3 linked regions of the Arabidopsis thaliana genome follow. The protein of the gene in region 2 purifies or fractionates together with the protein of the main gene of each other region. This does not show direct contact. Each region holds a gene or a part of one and is shown on either strand. Other genes may lie near its edges.

Region 1 (4,916 bases), on a different chromosome or scaffold from region 2:
TAGTGAAATCTATTACCCCTAAGAATATGAAGAACACGAGTCACTGCGTCAGTGGGTGGCATTGTCTCAAACTTATGAGCAGCTTCTCCCGCAACCAACGCGATCAAGAGAGCACCACCAGCAACCGGTGCGTAGCTATAGAACAGAAAGAATTCACCTCGATAGTTCGGATCCTCAGTAAGATGCCCAAAGGTATCGAGATCTGTGCTCCAAAATACATACGGAAAGAGCATTGCAACTTTATTCAGTAACCCAAAACCTAATCTCTTTATACAATCAAGCTTTCTCTGAGGTAATTCGGGAACAAATTTGATGGATCCGTTCTTAAGGACACCAAGGGGAACTGTACACAGCACCATATCACCCTCATACACTTGATTTCCAGCAGTTACCTTGACACCATTTGAACCATATCTGATTGTTTGGACGGTCTTCTCATATAATATTGGTACATTTTCAGCCAAAGCCTGAACCAGCCTTCCATTTCCTCCAGGCAGAAAGCAGTGATCTCCACCCATATCATATGGGTCATCTTGATCCCAGAATGCAAGAGAAAGCTTTGATACTAGGCCCGCATTTGCATACTCCAAGTTAGCAAGATGCCAGTTAAACAAACCCATCTCCTCGGTGGCCACATCATTCCCAGAAACCTGCCTGAATGTCTCGAGTGCTGCCCCAAGGGAGACATCCATGGAAACATCACCCATCAACTGCCTAAGTTTACTTGCCTTGTCTAGAAGCTGGTTAAACGCTACCTCAACCTTTATATCCACATCTGGATCAACCGGCTTACCATCCACCCTATAAAGAGGACACTTGTCTCGTACCTTATAGAGAGAAGAACCAAGCTGTCTCGCTATAATCCCTAAAGGATTTCCTAATGTTCCAGTCAAAACACTCCCACCTAAATCCGCTGCAGCACCTACCCTATTAGCTTCCATCTTTTTGGTATAAACCCGTCCACCGGGTCGTTTCCTACCCTCCAAAACCGTGACTTTGAAGCCAAACCTCATCAGTTGCCTAGCTGCAGCCAACCCAGATAAACCAGCACCAACTATAATCACACTAGACTTGCTTGACTGAGCAGGAAACTTATCTTTAATCGCCTGTGCTATTCCAAAATTGATATATCCATGTGTAACCAAGTAATTATAAGCCGAATCTAAGAGACTACTACAATGTTTAGGAATCGAATTAAGAAACATCTCCTTTGTGACCCAACTAGATATATTTTCTCGCCATTTGGATATAATGTGGTTCCTAATCAAAATGTAATTGACTTGTTCAATGCCTCCAACAATAGGCACCACACCGAATTCAATCTCTTCCTCGGTAAGCGAATCAGCAGGAAACCCAGCAGTGAGAGCAAGCAAAGCTTCAGTGGTAGCTTCCTTGTTAATCGTAATGATCTCATCACCAATCCCAGGATAACTTTTCACAGTCTGGTTTGATCCATTGACGACCTCTACGTTAAATCTACCGGAAGAAGAAGCTGAAGATGACACGAAATTACTGTTACCAGGAAGAAGACCTACGTTAGGGACGGGAAGGGAATTAAGCGAAGACATTGAGCGCTGAGAACGTCCTCTCCTTCGTTTCTTTGGTGCGGAGAATGAGACCATCTGCTCAAAACTAGGGTTAGAGATTGAGGTAGAGATCGAATTCGGAAATGGATTCAAACTTGTTTCGGTATTGGTGTTTGAGCTCGACTGTGGAGGAGGAGGAGTAGAGAATTGAGAGTGAGAAACAGACGGAACATAATTATCCGGTGGATTCATCGTTTCCGTCGCCGTAGAAACTGCAGGAGAGTGATCGATGAGAAGAGGAAGAAGAAAAGGATTGTTTGGTTACTGGATTAACTTTATCTTTATTTAATTGAAGAGCTTTTTGATGATTTAGTTTCCCACGATTTTTAAATTATTATTTGGGAAAAAACAGAAAACAAGGAAAAAGTAAAACAGAAAAAGAAAAAAAAATAGAGAGAGAAGAAAAGTCTGGAAAATTAGAAGAAGAAATTGGAAGGAGAATAAAACAAACGCGTATCGTATAGATTTTTACCTTTTCTTCTTCGTCTTCTCCATTTTCTCGAGATTTAGCTTTTCTCTTCGTGATCGGGAACGTGTTGATCAGATTCTAGCGTGGATTCGTATCCCAGGTAAGATTCGCAGCTGAAATCGAATTTGTTTCTCGATATTCTTTTCTCTCTAGATCTACTTCCAGACGTAGTGTTTGATTAATTTTTGTATACGCCGATAGTCTCGTCATCAGTTGAATTTTTCATGTAATTCGAATTATGATTCTCAGATCTTTCGCTGAAGGAGTAATGATTGAATTGTTCACATTTTGTTCTCCTGACTTGAATTCTATGTTCGCCGTTGGGTCCACTAGCTTCTTTGTGTGTACTGAACTGCGTAATATCGCGGTCTCTAGCTCGTGTATGTGTTTAACTCGTCTTGGGGTTTTGGACTTTTGCTTTCAGCTACAGAGAGCTTTGATTGGAATGTGCTGAGGAACATTCATTTCGGCTCTAATAAGCCAATCGGAGTGAGTTCGCCAGCATGGGGATTTTCAATGGTTTGCCTGTACCCTCGGATAAAACTGTAAGTTCACTTTCCTCACTCGTAGACTCCTACTTGAGTTGGAAAACCTGAAGTTTGGGCTTATGAGGAATTGTGTTGTTCTATGGTGTTCTTTCATCCCCTTGGGGATTTATAGGGACATTTAAGTATAACGGTTCTTTTTCTTATATCTCTTCATTTCGGGGTTGGAGTTAATTGTAAGAAGTTGTACGATGGCTAGACAAGAAATTGACTGAATTACCACCACTCTTGATTTGGTTATGTATTTGGTTTTGGAGTACATGTGTGTGTATATGTGCCTGAGTGTTGATGGTTATTGCAGTACCTTAGGGAGGAGCTGGCAAGAATAGATGAGAGCTGGGCTGCTGCACGATTTGACTCTTTACCACATGTTGTTCATATTTTGACATCAAAAGACCGTGAAGCTGACATTCATATATTAAAGGAACAAAGTGATGTTGTCGAGGAGGTTGTTGATGAAGTTGTCCATGCTTATCATGGTGGTTTCAACAAGGCCATTCAAAACTATTCACAGGTTTCTAATATCTGTTAGCTCTTCCTTTTTATTGGATAGTTCGTTCTGTTATTCTAAAGTAGCATCCTCTGTTACCGCTTATTGACTTCCATATTGCACGCTTCATTTGCCAAAGATACAACAAATCTAATATTGATACTAACTATGGCTGCTTCTATGGTTTCTGCATGTAGAATTTTCTTTTTGGAATAGTACCCTCTGTTGTAATTTATCTACTAAAATTTCATTTGTGGAACACCTTGGTTTTGATTATCTCTCTTCTTTTGCTCTGCTTTCAATGTATTCCTCATCAGATCTTGCGATTATTCAGTGAGTCCACTGAAAAGATAGGCGACTTGAAGCACGATTTAGCAGAAGCGAAACAGAGCTTGGGTGCACGCAATAAACAATTACATCAGTTGTGGTACCGTTCTGTTACATTGCGGCACATCATCTCACTTTTGGATCAAATCGAGGGCATTGCCAAGGTTGGTTGGATTAGCTGTAACATTTCTTTGTTTATTTTGAGTTTACAGTGCTTGCTATGTATCTGCGCTGCTATCAAGTTTCATACTTCATTCATCATCTCTGTATCTCTGATGTTACTTTTGTTGATATGCTCCCGATATATGTACTTACTTTTTTTTCATTTTGGCTTACTTAAAAGAAACTGCTTTTCTGATGTGAAAATGGTGACCCTGCCTCTTGAAACCTTGAACAGGTTCCATCTCGTATTGAGAAGCTCATTGCTGATAAGCAGTTTTACGCTGCTATTCAAGTGTATCTCCAGTCGTCTCTAATGCTGGAGCGTGAGGGGCTTCAAACGGTAATTTACTTACTGCCAATTTTAACAAATGCATTGTCATGGGAATATTGTGGGTCTTCCCATTCATTTATCAATTTGATCTCTAGGATTGTTTTGTAATAAATCCATTGAAGAGGATCTGGGATCATCGAAGTTCTGTTGGGACTTTAGAAATATCTCTGTCCAAGGGATCTACTGTTCACTTGTATGTTGAACTCATAGATATTTTGGTACGTTAACCTAGGTTGGTGCTCTTCAAGATGTCAGATCTGAGCTAACTAAGTTGCGGGGAGCCCTTTTCTTCAAAATTCTAGATGATTTGCATGCACACCTATACAATAGAGGTGAATACAGGTAGGTTTCTTTTGCAATTCTATAAGCAAATTTCAGAAGCTGTGCTGCTTTTTATCCTCGGATCTAGTGGCCTGCTTGTTTGATTGTTTGCCTCATCACTTCTTTCAGTGCACAATCTTCTGTTCTTGACCATGTTTATGCTGCAGTTCAGTTGCGTCAAGCATATATGAAAGAGATGATGAAGTACCAACGACAACAGCTGTTGCAGCTAGTCGAATGAGCTCACAACCACTGTCACGTAGAACACGGACACTGAAAGGTGATAGTCAGTTTGGTGTTAGAGGGCTCACAAATGGTTCATATAGAACCGCTTCTAATGATGAAAGGTATGATATAGCATCCTTTCCCTTCAGTGTATTCTTCATGAGATATTAGGAACATTTTTTCGTGTATATTGTTAACTTTATTCTGAGTGATCAATGTTTAGTAACTGTCTGTTTAGTTGTAGTTCTCCATAGAGGCTTTCACTTGCTCTATTATTAATACTGAGATTAATATACTTGCATCATTTCCTAATCATTATGTGGAGATTCTCCTTGTAAATTCTTTCATTAGAATATTTGTTGATAAAAGAAACTATACTGTAAACTGATTATTGCAGAAGTTGCTTTGTCTAGCCACACAACCTTTGTTCTAGTTTTACGAAATATACTTTACATGTTTT
Region 2 (7,539 bases):
TTAGAGAATTTACACTTTGGGTAGTGATTTAGGGAATCCTAATTGCCAATTTATCAAACTTACAGACCAGTTTTGAAGAAACGTCTCGAATTGAAGAGGCAATGCCTAGAGCCTTATCAAATAAATCTTCAACTTGCACGTCTGTTTCCAATGAAATGTCCTTCAAAACGTTCAGGACAATTGGAACTGCAACCTTTAATTGCTCGTAGTGACGCCTCTGGATCAAAATAAATACTGAAACCAGGAAATTTGAATAACTTTTTACTGCTTCAGTTCACGAAGACTAAATTAATATCTTCAGTAACAAAACTAGTTAGGGATTCAAACACAAACTTTAAGATATTCATACTTAAGTACAATCAAAGCAAGAGTATTACTAAAATTGCAGGTGCCAAGCTAAAATTCACTTTCATGAGAGAAGTCTATAAATTTTAGGATATTCATACTTGTGTACAATCAAAGCAAGAGTATTACTAAAACTGCAGGTGCCAGGCTAAAATTCACTTTCATGAGAGGAGTCTATAAATATCTTGAAAACGAGAAATCTTCAACTGGTACCTTTAGAGAGCCCATGCAATAAAGGAGTAGAACAAGTGGAGGCTGAATGATAGCACCGTGCAGCATCGAGTGCCTGGTTCAGAGTCATAAGGTGATCAAAAAGAACTTGTAATCTTCTTATGCCAAATACCAAGAAGGAAAAAGAAATTCCAGATCAATTACCTCACAAAGAATTGAAAGCATATCCCGTGGATTGCATGCTTCCACAAACCGATCAACGATTTCCTCAACTAACTGTAAACATCTGCTTGATATGTCTGCAAACTTGGAAGTTACTTTTGGCAAGTGAAATGACAGTGCATCTATAACATCCTGTAATAAAATGAATCGGGGAACAAAATCATAAGCTTGGTTCTCTAAACAAAATCCTTCCGTTTGGCTTTGAAAGCGATTCGAAAACTGAAAAGTACCTGATCCATTTGAGGAGATGATAAAACTTTCAAAATTTCATCTAATACTTCTTCAATAACATCGTTCTCCAGTTCATTGTTAGCATCCAAAGCTACGTTCTCATACAAAGAATCCAAACAGCTGACAAGTTCTGTCACAAAACTCTCAAAGTCTTGAAATCCTCCGGCTTCTTCAACTGACTGAAAAATCACAAAATTAGCGGCGAATTTTTCATTCGAGCTCCAAAAATCACGAAACAGCTAAGTATTCATCGATCTCAAAGCATCTAGAAATTCCACCCAGAAAACAAATTACACAAACCCGAAACGAGGAGAAGAAGAAGAGAGAAAGCTTACACTGAAACACAAAGCTAAAAGTTCTCGTACACGACGCGAAGGAGAAGTAGTGACAGTAGTTGACTCGGAGCTCCCTTCAATGGACGATTCCATAACGCCAAAACTTTTCAATTTCGCCCAAGTTTCGTTCACAGTGAGAGTATTAATAATCGCGAATTTAACCATATCGTTTGGTTATATGAATAGAGTTTAACCCCGGATAGTCTAATTCTAACTAAGAATAGTTTAATACCTGTACCCAAACAGACCACGTTCTCTCTCTCAACACTTTCTCGTTTTCGTCTCCTTCAGATCCGGTGCACTCACGCTCACCGAAAGATCCTCACTCTCCTTCTCTGATCTCGCCATGGAACCTGACGTCAGTATCGAGACTTTGTCGATCATTCGGATCGCCGTCCTTCCGATCGGCACTATTCCGCCGACGCTTCTCCGGGACTACCACTCGATGCTGCTCCGTCATCACACGATCGCGCTCTCAGCTATTAGCTCTTTCTACACTGAACATCAGAAATCTCCATTCACGAATCAGCCGTGGGATTCCGGCTCTCTCCGGTTCAAATTTGTGCTTGGTGGTTCTCCTCCGAGTCCTTGGGAGGATTTTCAGTCTAATCGGAAGATGCTCGCCGTGATCGGCCTTTGCCACTGTCCCTCGTCCCCTGATCTTGATTCTGTCACTGAAAAATTCAATGTCGCTTGTAAGAGTTATTCCTCGGCTCTTGTCCGGCGCTGCTTCGCTTTCTCCCCTGGCGATTCGCAAGTAAGTATATTAGTTTCCATGCTTCTTATCTGCTATGGCATTCTTAGCTCGATGCCGATGGATCTAGCTAGCTTTTTTCTGATTTGTCTCTACAGTTGATAGTGATGTCCATTTTTTGTACCAGTGATTTAGTTACTTGCTTATGGATGCGTTAGATTGACGATTTACTGAACAATGTACTGTCTTTTGCAGCTTGAAGATGGAGACAAGAAGGGTGAAAATTTGATTTTGTTTCCTCCATCTGACAAGCAAACTCAGGAGTTTCATTTACAAACAATGATGCAAGACATTGCCGCTTCGCTGTTAATGGAATTTGAGAAGTGGGTTCTTCAGGCAGAATCTGCTGGCACAATTTTGAAGACGCCTTTGGATTCCCAAGCTAGTCTCAACTCAGAGGAGGTTTATGTCTAGGTGTCCTATAATTTGGTCTACGTTTCATTTCTTCCTCTGGAAGCTTATAACTTATTAGCATAGTCTTCTAGGCTCACTAGTTTTGTTTAATGCAGGTTATTAAGGCCAAAAAGCGTAGGCTGGGACGTGCACAAAAAACTATAGGAGACTATTCCTTGTTGGCTGGTTCACCTGTTGATGCCAATGCTCATTATTCTACTGCTCTGGAACTGGCCAGATTGACTGGAGATTACTTCTGGTATGCCGGTGCCTTGGAAGGCAGTGTTTGTGCCTTACTGGTAAGGCTTTATGCAAATATATCTCTAAATGCATTGTTCTTACATTTTTAATAGTATTATAGTCCAAAAACATGGATAGTGATGTGCTGTTTATCGAAAGTGCACTGATTATGAAATTGCTCTCATCTGTCCCTCTTTAATTAAGTTTGCAATCATCTTAGTTTTCCGTTTTCTTAATATTAGGTAGATCGGATGGGTCAACGTGATGTGGCTTTAGAAGATGAAGTTAGATATCGATACACTAATGTTATCTTGCACTACAGAAAGTCATTTATTCAAGAAATTGCTCAGAGGTAATTCTACCAACCTGTTTGGCTTTCTTCTTCGATAAACTTAAGTAATAGCAATCAATTCTCTTCCTTGCAGAGTTTCGCCCCTAAGCTTTGAACTCGAAGCTACCCTTAAGCTGGCCAGATTCCTTTGCAGGTATCATTGTATGCTCTCTATTTCTTTAAATTATCATGGTGTGGTTTCCTTTCTTGCCGTCTCCTGCTTAAGTTTAAGGTTGCTATGGTATTTTTGTCTAGTAGGAAGCTATATCGCTACTAAAATTTAAATATAAACTCATGGGATCTTGTGTGTGTGTGGCTTTGATCCTCTAAAACTATCTGCAACATTCAACTTATAATACCAATATATTGAGATTACTATTAAGTATTAAGTGGCCTAGTGGAGGATGGCTGTATGTTAATGTTTTGTGATTGATGGTGATGTTAGCTGGGAAAAGAATAATTATTACGTTTTGAAAAAGCTAAAATACATGGGTTTTCCGTTTAGTATGAAATGATACTCTCTGGTTGTGGCAGCTTTTATGTTTTTTTAACCTTCTGGTTGCATCCTCATTTTTTTCTTGGTATCTTTGATCTTAATCATTCTTACAATGTCATTTTATGTGTTGTGCAGGAGGGAACTGGCTAAGGAAGTAGTAGAGCTATTAACAAATGCAGCTGATGGTGCAAAGTCTTTAATTGATGCCAGTGATAGGCTCATATTATATGTTGAAGTAGCGCGTTTATTTGGAGCCCTTGGTTATCAACGGAAAGCAGCCTTCTTCTGTAGGCAGGTCGCCCAATTGTATTTGCAGCAAGACAATCGATTGGCTGCTATCAGTGCCATGCAAGTTCTCTCTATGACAACTGATGCATACAGAATTCAAAGTAGGGCATCCATGTCAAAAGTGTCGGTTAACAATGTGAGTTTGCCAGCATAGGCATTATTTTTCCTCTCTTGTGTTTGATTGAGCATGGTTTTCTGGAGTTTTTTTTGTTATCATCACTTTTCACTATCTTGGTATTTATCCATGTATCATACTTTGATAATATATTGTATCTTCTCTTGTGTTTGTTGGTAAAGGAAACTGGGCGCCTACCTGACGCTGGGAAAATGCATCATCATTCCATTGTCTCCCTGTTCGAGTCCCATTGGAGCACTTTGCAGATGGTTGTGCTTAGGGAGATACTCCTCTCTGCTGTTCGTGCTGGAGATCCCTTAGCTGCATGGAGTGCTGCAGCTAGGCTTCTGAGGTGGCATTATCCTCTAATTACACCTTCAGGTCAAAATGGACTTGCTAATTCCCTTGCAAATTCAGCGGATAGATTACCTTCTGGAACTCGCTGTGCTGACCCTGCCTTGCCTTTTGTAAGGTATGTTTATCAGCAGTCAACCTTTTTGCTCTCAGAGATGTTTTGCTTGTGCACTCTCACCATCATGAAACAACCTAACTTGGTCATGTTATATTTCCTAGCACTCTAAGTAGAGCAACGAGATCAGAAAAATAAGTAATAATCTCTTTTAATCCATCTCTTGGGCTTCATATATGCCCAATATGTGTTTATTTTCAGGAATGTGTTCCATGTTTGGTTCTTAGCTGACTCTGGCAAAACTGTGTATGTTTTGGCAAATTTTAATGGTTCTTCTAAGCATGATTATTTTAATGAAATTTCAGGCTATTCTCTTTCCCACTCCATTCCTCCCAAGTGGACATCGTAAAACGCAATCCAGCAAGAGAAGATTGGTGGACAGGCTCTGCTCCTTCTGGGCCATTTATTTACACTCCTTTCAGCAAAGGAGATGCCAACGAAAGTAGCAAGCAGGAATTGATTTGGGTGGTCGGTGAACCAGTTCAGGTCTTAGTGGAGTTAGCAAATCCTTGTTGCTTCGATTTGCGGATTGATAGTATTTATCTCTCAGCTCACTCGAGTAACTTTGATGCGTTTCCTGTCAGTGTGGACATTCCCCCTAACTCTGCAAAAGTGATCACATTATCTGGTATTCCAACAGCTGTAGGACCAGTGACAATTCCAGGCTGCACAGTTCACTGCTTTGGTGTAATCACTGAACATGTGTTCAGGGATGTTGACAATCTGCTTCTTGGAGCAGCACAAGGACTTGTATTTTCTGACCCTTTCAGATCCTGCGGATCTGCAAAGCTACGACATGTATTTGTTCCTAACATATCAGTTGCTCCTCCATTGCCCCTCCTTGTGGCTAATGTTGTGGGTGGTGATGGTGCAATTATTCTGTATGAAGGTGAAATTCGGGAGGTGTGTATAAATTTTGCAAATGCTGGCACAGTTCCAATAGTACAGGCACATGTCTCGCTCTCTGGAAAGAATCAGGATGCTGTTATCTCGATCGCAGATGAAGCTTTACAGTCTGCTCTTCCCTTGAAACCTGGGGCACAAGTGACTCTGCCTGTGACTTTAAAAGCTTGGCATGTGGGTCCAACTGATTCTGACAATACTATGAGCAGTGGCAGGAATGCTGCGGGTAACACAGGAAGACCAAAAGACGGAACCAGTCCATCATTGCTTATTCACTACGCAGGTATTCATTTCTTCCTTGACGTATGTTTCTATGTATCTTACTTTTTCAGTGCTTCATGTATCCTCACGATGACTAATTACTAAAAGCATTTTTGTATTCATATTTTTGCAGGGCCATTGTCTAACAATGGGGATTCCCAAGAAAAAGAATCTATCGTGCCACCGGGCAGACGGCTTGTTGTTCCCTTACAAATTTGTGTTTTGCAAGGTTTGTCGTTTGTGAAAGCTCGTTTGCTTTCCATGGAAATCCCTGCACATGTGAGTGACAACCTTCGGGATGAAGACATTGAAAGAGAGAGCAATGCAGACAGCCTTGTCAAGATCAATCCCTTTAGGGGAAGCTGGGGACTACGGTTTCTTGAACTTGAGTTATCTAACCCAACAGATGTTGTTTTTGAAATCAGCGTCTTCGTTCAGCTGGAAAACTCTGCCAAGGAAGATGATTCTTCACCAGTACAAGATTCTCCAGAGTATGAATACCCGAAAACAAGAATCGACCGGGACTATTCTGCTAGGGTACTGATTCCATTGGAGCATTTTAAGCTACCGGTTCTTGATGGTTCATTCTTCACAAAGGACCCTCCACCTGGTAGCCCTTCAAGTAGTAGAAATCCGAGCTTCTCAGAGAAGAACACGAAAGCTGAGATAAACACATTGATCAAGAATCTCATCTCTAAGATAAAAGTTCGGTGGCAATCAGGAAGGAACAGCTCAGGAGAACTGGACATCAAGGATGCAATTCAGACAGCTCTCCAGACGACTGTGATGGATGTTTTGCTCCCAGATCCGCTAACATTTGGTTTCAGACTGGTCAGAAACGGTCTGGAGAAGGATCCTGAGACAAAGGCTGAGTCCCCATTTTCAAAGGGATCTGTTCTGTCACATGAAGTCACTCCTATGGAGGTTCTGGTCCGCAATAACACTAGCGAAGCTATCAAGTTGAATCTAAGTGTTACTTGCAGAGATGTAGCTGGACAGAACTGCACTGAAGGAGCTGATGCCACTGTCCTCTGGGCTGGTAAGATTCCTGTCACTAAGTAATAAATATTTGTGTAACATAGATATTTGCTGCCATTATAGCCGTGTGTATTACAATGAGATATGTAAAAGGTGGCTTATACTTTTGTCAGGTGCTCTTAGTGGAATCTCAATGGAAGTAGCGCCGCTGCAAGAAGCAAGACACTGTTTCTCACTCTTCTTCCTTGTTCCAGGAGAGTACACGATGGTAGCAGCTGCTGTAATTGAAGACGCTAACAATGTACTCAGAGCACGAGCAGGAACTGCTTCTCCAAACGAACCCATCTTCTGTCGTGGACCGCCTTTTCATGTCTGTGTAGCTGGAGGTGCACTGTGATTCGTTAACCAAATCAGGTCTTGGCATTATAATTTATACTCTGTTTTTTGCTCTGTTAGTTGATTTCTCGAGAATCAATTATAAGTTCCGGGTTTAAGTATGGGTCTTTATAAATATCTCTATAATTGCTTGTGTGTTTGTCTCTGTATTTACCTTGGGTCATCTTATGACCACCATGCATAGACTATGCTTTTTTGGAATTTTACGGCCTCGGTTCTGAGACTACTTTTCTCAAAGTAAGTGTTTGTACTCTGCTCAGTGGGATCACTTTCAGTGATAAAAAGAATAAAACGATTATAGCATAATATTAGCAAAAATAAAACTATTTAACCATGAATTCCTTCCCTATTGTGTATTGAAAAGGTCCACAGAGCAATGACATAACTTTCACCGTCAAATAAATACCATTCATTGATATAATCAAACAAGGCAGTGAAGTTTCCCCAAAGCTCGTATGTCGTGTATTAGTGGCCTTACGGATTAATCAATAACTAAAAAATAATACAATAATTTACTTTAGAAATAGTTACGATTATTAATTTAAAGCAAAAAAAAACTGACACAAAGTATCTTTGGCTAAAGAGGATTGTCCTATTCTATTGCGTTTGTT
Region 3 (7,775 bases), on a different chromosome or scaffold from region 2:
CTATCTACATCTCTAGACGCAGCGGAGACAACAACGGCGGAGTTTCCTCTTCGCGACGGCCAAGATGGTTGTGGATTAATCAGCAGATTGGGATTGGCGGGAAAAGAAACGATTGGCATAGAAGAAGGAAGCCGAAGCATCTCTTTCAAAATCTACAGAGTTATCTTCTTTTTCTTTTCTTCTTCGCCAATGGTTGTTGGTGAGATTTTGAATATCATGCAGTGGATTCTTCTAAGAAATGGCAAATAATATGGTTCTCTACTGTTTTATCTCTTTTTTGCCGGTCACATTCTTTATACTTTCTCTCTCTCTCGACATTTGCTGGGATTTTCTGTGTCACACAAATGGCACCAATCTTTTTGTACGTTTTTTAAGTATTTATATGTCATATAAATGTACTTTATTTAGCTACTAATCATATTTTTTGGTTAGTGACTAAAACTGTATCATTCCAAACTATTCATAATAATTACGTTTAAAACTTAAGAAAAACATATGAAAAAGTTTGTAGATTGTCTGTTTATTTATCTGTCCTTGGATGCTTCCTTTGAAGAAAAAGAAATTTAGTGTATATATAAAAGAGATAAAGAATATATCACATCCACATATTTGGTAATTGATATATAACTCTGTAGATCTTATTCCTTTTAGATACCAATGACTCTTCTTTTTATGTAAACCATCAAAATCTGAAACAAGCTGAATAATGAAATACACATATCTTAAAATATATTTTTACTAGTAGTAGTAATTAGTAAATATCATAATATCAGTTTGTGGAGTATTTTAGAAAGAATTCGAACATAATATATTTTCGATTTTTTCCTAAATGTAAACTTTCGAATTTTCTCTAGTATGTTCTTAATGAAAAAATGTAAACTTACCAAATGTTGCTGATATATTTACAAAAATGTAAAGTTAGTGTCGACGATACATGTATATAAATATAATCAGTACACGAAAAAAAAGGTTAAGAAAGATTAGAGATTGGTGGTGTGGTGAACAAGAAGATGGACATGTATCATTTGACAGAATACATCGGCGTGGTATCGGGCGTCCTTATGGTAGCTCTTGCTTCGTGCTTGTATGGCCATTACCTACGTCGCATGGTATGTCCATGTTGTGAACCTAGACTACCTAGTGACTCTAATGCCTAACTATTATCATTTTGCTACTGATTATATTTATATAAATGTATTGTCGAAAATTGTGCGTCCGTTTATCCTCTACGCTAAACGGACTCTAGATGAATAATTATTTGTTTCAAAATATTGTAACTCTATTCTATTGATATTTATGAGATTTTACAAATTTCTTTTCAAATAGTTTGTACTTGGAAGCTGTCATTTTCTTAGGCTTTGTTTTTCTTTTTCGTCGAGTTCAATATTCCATCCATCTCATCGATTTATTTCTTATATATTACATGTACTACGTTATGTGCAAAACTTTGATGATATCACAACTAATATATCACATCCAAGTTTTGCAAAGCATGTCGTCAAATTATAAACTTATCAAAACATATGCAACCCCATTAATATCAAACGTATGTAACATCGCTAGATAACCAATCAGACCCCTACGACTAATATTTTCGAATTCGATACGTTATGGTAAGATTTAAAATCGATGATATTTTAGTGACATTTCAAATGATTAAACATATAACAAAAAATAAAAAATAACACGAACCCGAGCATGGGGTTAAGATTTGCGTTTTGCTCAACGAATTAGCGTTAGCGTTTGCAAAAAAAAAAAAAAAAAAAATAGGTTTGCATCAACAGCTGGCAAAAAAGAAAAAGAAAAATCAAAACCGGCGAGACGGAAAATTTCAGCGTTTCCGAACTTTCCATTAGAGTCGCGAGACGATAGATGAGACTCGTTCCAGAAATTTAATCGTTGCTTCTCTTCCCAGCTGATCTGCGTCCAACATCACTGTTTCCAGGATCTTCAGAATCAGCGAAGGAAGAAGATAAGAGGACGACGAAGTAATTGAAGTTGGAGAATCGCACATTTGGCTCTCGATATTTGCTCAATGACTTCTTATTCGGTTGCGTCCATTTTTCCTCTACGTTTCTGTTTCCAGATCTCTTGATTCTCCTCTGCGTTATCGTAATTGTGCTGGAATTTTGAATAACTTTGCAGAGGTAGCCTTCAATTTAGGATCGGAGTTCGTAAATAAGGTGATTTAGCGAAGATGATGGTCGAAGATCTTGGTGTGGAAGCGAAGGAAGCGGCTGTGCGAGAAGTGGCGAAGCTCTTACCCTTACCTGAACTTTTGCAGTCTATTTCTTCAATCAAGGCCGATTACATCGCTCGTCAACAGGTTTGACATCTTGCTTTTGAATTGCAATTGGAACTGAATTGGCTTTTGAAGTATCATTTGCACTGAGTATTAGTGATTCCTGAGCAATGCTAGATTTGAGTTGTTAGGTTTTGATATGCTATTGTTATCTTTTATTTTCGATTTTCTGGAAATTTTTAATGACCTGACTAGTGATGCTTGCTGTTTCAATCAGGCAAATGATGCACAGCTCAGTACTATGGTTGCTGAGCAGGTACAGCTTTAATCTGGCCTTCTTTGTACTTTAATGTATTTCGACTTTTTTGTTGTTCTTAAGTAATAGCTGTTGACAAACTTCAGGTTGAACAAGCTCAAGCTGGGTTAGAGTCACTTTCATCATCTGAGAAAACCATTTATGAACTGCGGGATAATTTCATTTCTATCGACAAGTATGTTTTTGCTTGACTAGAGATTCTTGAAGCTGAGTTACCAACTTTTGCATTTCTCTCCCTCTAACTTCTCTTCTTGTGCCACAGGCTTTGTCAGGAATGTCAAACTTTGATTGACAATCATGACCAAATAAAGCTGCTGAGTAACGCCAGGAATAATCTAAACAAAACTCTAAAGGTAGATATGCCGATGAGCACTGATTGTATTGCTTACAGTATTTGGTTCAGTGTTGTCCTTCTAACTTATTCTTGAACGCAAATATATATAGCTCTGCATGGTCGTCTCAGATGTTTAAATGCTTTCCAAGTTTTTGTCAACTTATTTTTACCTCATTCTCTTTTTTCAAGGATGTAGAAGGTATGATGTCAATTTCTGTTGAAGCTGCTGCGGCTAGGGATTCTTTGAGTGATGATAAAGAAATCGTTAACACTTATGAGGTAGCATGAGTTCCTCTTCCCATGGATTCCAGGCATTTCTGACTGCATCACTTTGAAAAAAAGAACGTTTGGTGTAAGACATAATATTCTGTTTTTCTTCCATAGAGATTAACAGCACTTGATGGTAAACGAAGATTTGCATTAGCAGCTGCTGGAGAGGAGGTTGGGAGGCTGAGGTTTGTATATATTCCACTCGTTTCCTTTCTTTGCTTTTTGTACTTACATGAAGTGAGCCCGAAAGCTTTAATTCAAGAGTTACTGGTGTGCTATGAAAGAAAATAGGTCTCTATGCTAAAGTAATGAGCAGTAGGTAGAGCTGTTACTCTTTTGGTAGTGCATATGATGATTTGATCCCGCCTCTGGACTGTCTTTTCTTTTTACATGAGCATGCATACCAACTTCTAAAGAGTTGTTTTGATGGGTTCAGGGAGTATTTTGAAGATGTTGATAGAACATGGGAAACATTCGAGAAGACACTATGGGGTCATGTTTCCAACTATTACAAACTTTCTAAAGAAAGGTATTTTGAGTAAATATATGATTATGCTCAACTTCTCCGTGTAATTCCATTTTTTTTAATTATTTCTACTGCCTTATTTTAGAACTATGATTCTTGCTGGTTTTTTATAAGAGTAAGGCTAGGAAGTTAGATCAAGGATGCAAGCAATGTCAAAAGATGAGATGGACATAGTTGGACTGTACCCTTTATTCTGTAGCTATATATGAGCATTTATATGATAATACATAGTTTATGTAATGCTCTGTTCTCTGTTTTATGTTCTTAGCCAGACCTTGGGGATTAAGTACACGTTTAGACTTTGCTCCATGTTGAAATAAGCTATTTTCCTGTTGTTAAGCTCTTAATTCTGCTAAGATATCAAATCTTACATATCCTTTTGGTTTATCTTAAACTTACTGATGTATCTTTGTTCTGCAGTCCGCAAACACTGGTTCGTGCTTTGAGGTATGATCCCCCACCAGAGACATTCTTTACCTTTGTCTATGGCATATATTCCCAAATTATTACGTTTCAGTAATTTTGTTGCAAACAAATCTATTTTAATTAGCAAGGAAGATAGTGTATACCTATTTTCTGGTGATTAGCATCAAGATCAGTTCAAACTGGTTTAGTAGGACAGCGAAGTCATTGTGTTACTGTGACAATCATTTTTAGACAAGCAAATTGTTTCTTTTTACTTCCTTTAATGCAACATGCATTGCAATATCATGGATTTTATTTTGGCATTAGAAGTTTCTTAAACACAAAGTCTCCTATCCAGAAGAAAATGAGTAGACTAATTTAAAGTGAACTAGTTAACTAGAACTGGTACTAACTTTCAATGGTTTATTCTATCAAAGGGTTGTTGAGATGCAAGAAATTCTAGACCAACAGCTTGCTGAAGAAGCAGCAGAGGCTGAGGGAGAAGGTGCGATGGCATCTGTAGCAAATCCTCGAAGGCCTGGCAAGTGAGTCTGATATTTTTTGTTCGTATTTGTCTTGATTTGTTGTCTTATCTGTTATTCAAAATATCTTTCACTTTTTTACTAGGGGTTTGACTAAGCTATATTTTGCATTGATTTAATGTCCTGAAAAGCAATGGAATTTTATTAAAGTCCCCATAATCATTTGTGACATGTCCTATATTTATTCTGTTGAATCCAGGAAATCTACTACAACGTCAGCGTCGTCAAAGGGTCTTGCTCAACAGAAATTAAAAGTCCAAGGGAAAGGCTACAAGGACAAATGCTACGAGCAAATTCGGAAGGCGGTTGAAGATCGATTCAACAGGCTTTTGACGGTGGGACTTTCTTTTTGAAAATTTCATTTGATGGCATAGCTACAAGTAATGTGTTTCTCTGTGTGGTCATCCTAACACTGAACTATTGAACAGCTTGTCTTTGAAGATCTAAAAGCAGCTTTGGAAGAAGCTAGAATGGTTTGTGCGACTGTTTCCCTTGCTTTCATACACTTTTCTTCATTTTTTCTTTTCTGCAGTTTATGAAATTATATTCAACTATCTAATATATTTTTGTTTCTCAGTAGATCACCTTTAGTTGACTGAATTAGTTTTTTTTTTGGTTCTTAATAAATATGGTTGATGAACTAGTAGTATGTTACTGTTCTGATACAAAAGTTCCAAATTGGCCTGACCGTCTTATATTACTGTTCCTGTTCCATAATGATTGATGTCAACCTCGTTTTCTTCTGTTATCTTTCACAAATATATATTTATCAACTGGGTTTTCACTTTCTTTTTATGGTGTTCCACAACTAGATTGGAGAGGAACTTGGAGATATTTATGACTATGTGGCTCCTTGTTTTCCTCCAAGGTTTGTTCCTATCTCGTTTTCCTCAAGTGGACAATGAAAGATTACAGCTTAAAATTTATTCTGTTCCCCAAGTGAAAAAGGGTTCCTTAGCAATCTTCTTTGCTGGCAGATACGAGATATTTCAGCTTATGGTGAACCTGTATACCGAGAGATTCATACAAATGCTCAGATTGCTCAGTGACAGAGCAAACGATCTGACAAATATAGAGATTTTAAAGGTATGTAAAGCATGATTCTTAGTTCTCCCATGTTGTGTCGCAACTCAAACTTTGCAGATACTGCTTTTGGTGCTTTGGCTCTGTGTTTTCTGACTGAATATCAAGGACATTTTTAATCAACCATGCATGATATTTAAGTAAATGTCAAGCTAGTCCGAGTTATTTGACAGGGAACACCATGGGAAATTATAAGAGGGGGTACTAATATTATGTGACTGTCTTTGTGTTGCCTCATCAAAATGCCTCATTCGTTTTTTACCTTGTCTCTGTGCATTAGGTATCCTTTAGAGAGTGATGTATCTTTTCTTTCTCTCTTCGATCTTGCTAGGTGACTGGTTGGGTGGTAGAGTACCAAGAAAACTTGATTGCACTTGGTGTTGATGATTCACTAGCTCAAGTGTGTTCTGAGAGCGGTTCAATGGATCCTCTAATGAATGCATATGTTGAAAGAATGCAAGCTACAACGAAGGTAATGACATACACGTTTGACCTACTCTGCTAGTTTTTGACGTTAAAAATTTTTATAATTCTTTTTGCTTAAACTTTTGTTGCCAATTCTTTGGTTGCAGAAATGGTACATGAATATCCTAGAGGCGGATAAGGTGCAACCACCTAAAAAAACTGAGGAAGGAAAATTATATACACCGGCTGCTGTAGATTTATTCAGAATACTTGGAGAGCAAGTGCAAATTGTCAGAGATAACAGCACGGATGTTATGTTGTACAGGATTGCTTTAGCTATTATTCAGGCAAGTTAAAGAGGTTGCAAAGACATTTCTTTGTTCGGCTATGAACTGAAAATATTCCATTTCCTTACTCAGGCTATTTATTTACTATATATACTCAGAAATTTCAAATCGTTCTTTGCTTTCTTCTAAGACTCGTGAAAGTTAATGTTGGAGACTTTACCCATTCCCAGCTTTTTTTTTCATATCTCACCCAAAATCGTTGAATTCCGTTTACCCCCTTTTTTCTCTTTTCTATTTTCCCCCCTCTTTCATTGTGTCTAACTTTTATACTTCTTAAATTTCGTAACTTTTGTAGCATTGTGCATGTTCTAAATTTTGATTCATATTGTGAATTACTTCAGGTTATGATTGATTTCCAAGCAGCTGAAAAGAAGAGAGTTGATGAACCTGCATCTGATATTGGTCTGGAACCTCTATGCGCTATGGTATGTCAAAAGATATGACTCTTTTGATGACACTATTTCTTTCTCCCATTTTCAGACGAATATTTATATGTTAATATTGACTACAGATAAACAACAACCTTCGCTGCTACGACCTTGCCATGGAGTTAAGTAATAGCACTTTAGAAGCTCTTCCACAAAATTATGCAGAGCAGGTAATCCAGCTGCCAGTTTCTGAGCTCAATTTCGTTGCAATTGATTATTTTGTTTGGATATGTCAAATTCCACTGCATCATGCCCACTCTCAGTCCCACTATACTCCACGTCTATGTGCACATACACTCTTGTTTGCATACTAATAAAATGCTTCTCTAATGTGGTGTTTCTGTCAGGTGAATTTTGAAGACACTTGCAAAGGTTTCTTGGAGGTGGCTAAGGTTCGTCAAAGATTCCTTTTTCTCCCTGGTCTTCAATCCAAATATAGTTTTTGCATCTCGATTTATGGCCTTACAGTTGCCCAGATGGCTGTTGAAATGAAATTTCAACTTGATCTTGCGATCTTTAAAGTTAAAATTTATGTTGGATTTTACACAAGTCCCATCTGGTCCTTTGATTTCAGGAAGCAGTGCATCAAACAGTTCGCGTTATCTTTGAGGATCCAGGAGTTCAGGAATTACTTGTCAAGCTTTACCAGAAAGGTATCTACTATTCTGAAGAACTAATCTATTAGCTTTACTAATGTGTGAATAGAGGCAGTCGAGTCGTTGTCACCTCCTTGATACTGTTGCTACTGGTTTCCATTGATTTTTAATAGATAAAACTATTCTCATATGCATTGATTTTCTACATGTTATATAATGTAATAGTTGTGTTCTTTATAACATAATCATTTCAGAATTAAGATATGGTCTTCTGTCCAACT

The links. Proteins that work in one complex are often made in the same cells at the same time.
Region 1: the proteins of TRS120 (region 2) and SEC8 purify together in Arabidopsis thaliana (affinity purification with mass spectrometry, with the first as the bait; one study listed by BioGRID). This does not show direct contact.
Region 3: the proteins of TRS120 (region 2) and SEC6 purify together in Arabidopsis thaliana (affinity purification with western blotting; one study listed by BioGRID). This does not show direct contact.

The regions. Positions count from the first base shown.
Region 1 is NC_003074.8:3,225,999-3,230,914, reverse strand, and holds the start of SEC8 (subunit of exocyst complex 8), read left to right. Parts: upstream 1-1,880; 5' UTR 1,881-2,155; intron 2,156-2,479; 5' UTR 2,480-2,558; coding exon 2,559-2,600; intron 2,601-2,901; coding exon 2,902-3,114; intron 3,115-3,407; coding exon 3,408-3,581; intron 3,582-3,814; coding exon 3,815-3,919; intron 3,920-4,142; coding exon 4,143-4,252; intron 4,253-4,398; coding exon 4,399-4,578; intron 4,579-4,916. Other genes in the region: FLD (protein FLOWERING locus D-like protein), read right to left, coding at 17-1,778. UniProt on the Arabidopsis thaliana protein: Component of the exocyst complex involved in the docking of exocytic vesicles with fusion sites on the plasma membrane during regulated or polarized secretion. Involved in polarized cell growth and organ morphogenesis.
Region 2 is NC_003076.8:3,493,682-3,501,220, forward strand, and holds TRS120 (TRS120), read left to right. Parts: upstream 1-1,513; 5' UTR 1,514-1,650; coding exon 1,651-2,061; intron 2,062-2,253; coding exon 2,254-2,460; intron 2,461-2,567; coding exon 2,568-2,750; intron 2,751-2,933; coding exon 2,934-3,043; intron 3,044-3,116; coding exon 3,117-3,176; intron 3,177-3,653; coding exon 3,654-3,942; intron 3,943-4,103; coding exon 4,104-4,393; intron 4,394-4,695; coding exon 4,696-5,576; intron 5,577-5,687; coding exon 5,688-6,593; intron 6,594-6,705; coding exon 6,706-6,929; 3' UTR 6,930-7,264; downstream 7,265-7,539. Other genes in the region: ALF4 (aberrant root formation protein), read right to left, coding at 68-234, 559-631, 721-870, 969-1,148, 1,305-1,469. UniProt on the Arabidopsis thaliana protein: Specific subunit of the TRAPP II complex, a highly conserved vesicle tethering complex that is required for the proper transport of proteins in post-Golgi trafficking pathways to the growing cell plate in mitotic active cells.
Region 3 is NC_003070.9:27,007,825-27,015,599, forward strand, and holds the start of SEC6 (SEC6), read left to right. Parts: upstream 1-1,739; 5' UTR 1,740-2,050; intron 2,051-2,145; 5' UTR 2,146-2,197; coding exon 2,198-2,326; intron 2,327-2,519; coding exon 2,520-2,558; intron 2,559-2,644; coding exon 2,645-2,733; intron 2,734-2,820; coding exon 2,821-2,911; intron 2,912-3,081; coding exon 3,082-3,171; intron 3,172-3,276; coding exon 3,277-3,347; intron 3,348-3,598; coding exon 3,599-3,691; intron 3,692-4,045; coding exon 4,046-4,204; intron 4,205-4,530; coding exon 4,531-4,638; intron 4,639-4,834; coding exon 4,835-4,970; intron 4,971-5,063; coding exon 5,064-5,108; intron 5,109-5,447; coding exon 5,448-5,503; intron 5,504-5,612; coding exon 5,613-5,721; intron 5,722-6,049; coding exon 6,050-6,190; intron 6,191-6,290; coding exon 6,291-6,404; coding exon of another isoform or gene 6,405-6,470; intron 6,471-6,811; coding exon 6,812-6,895; intron 6,896-6,981; coding exon 6,982-7,068; intron 7,069-7,245; coding exon 7,246-7,290; and 3 more. Other genes in the region: AT1G71810 (Protein kinase superfamily protein), read right to left, coding at 1-140. UniProt on the Arabidopsis thaliana protein: Component of the exocyst complex involved in the docking of exocytic vesicles with fusion sites on the plasma membrane during regulated or polarized secretion. Involved in polarized cell growth and organ morphogenesis.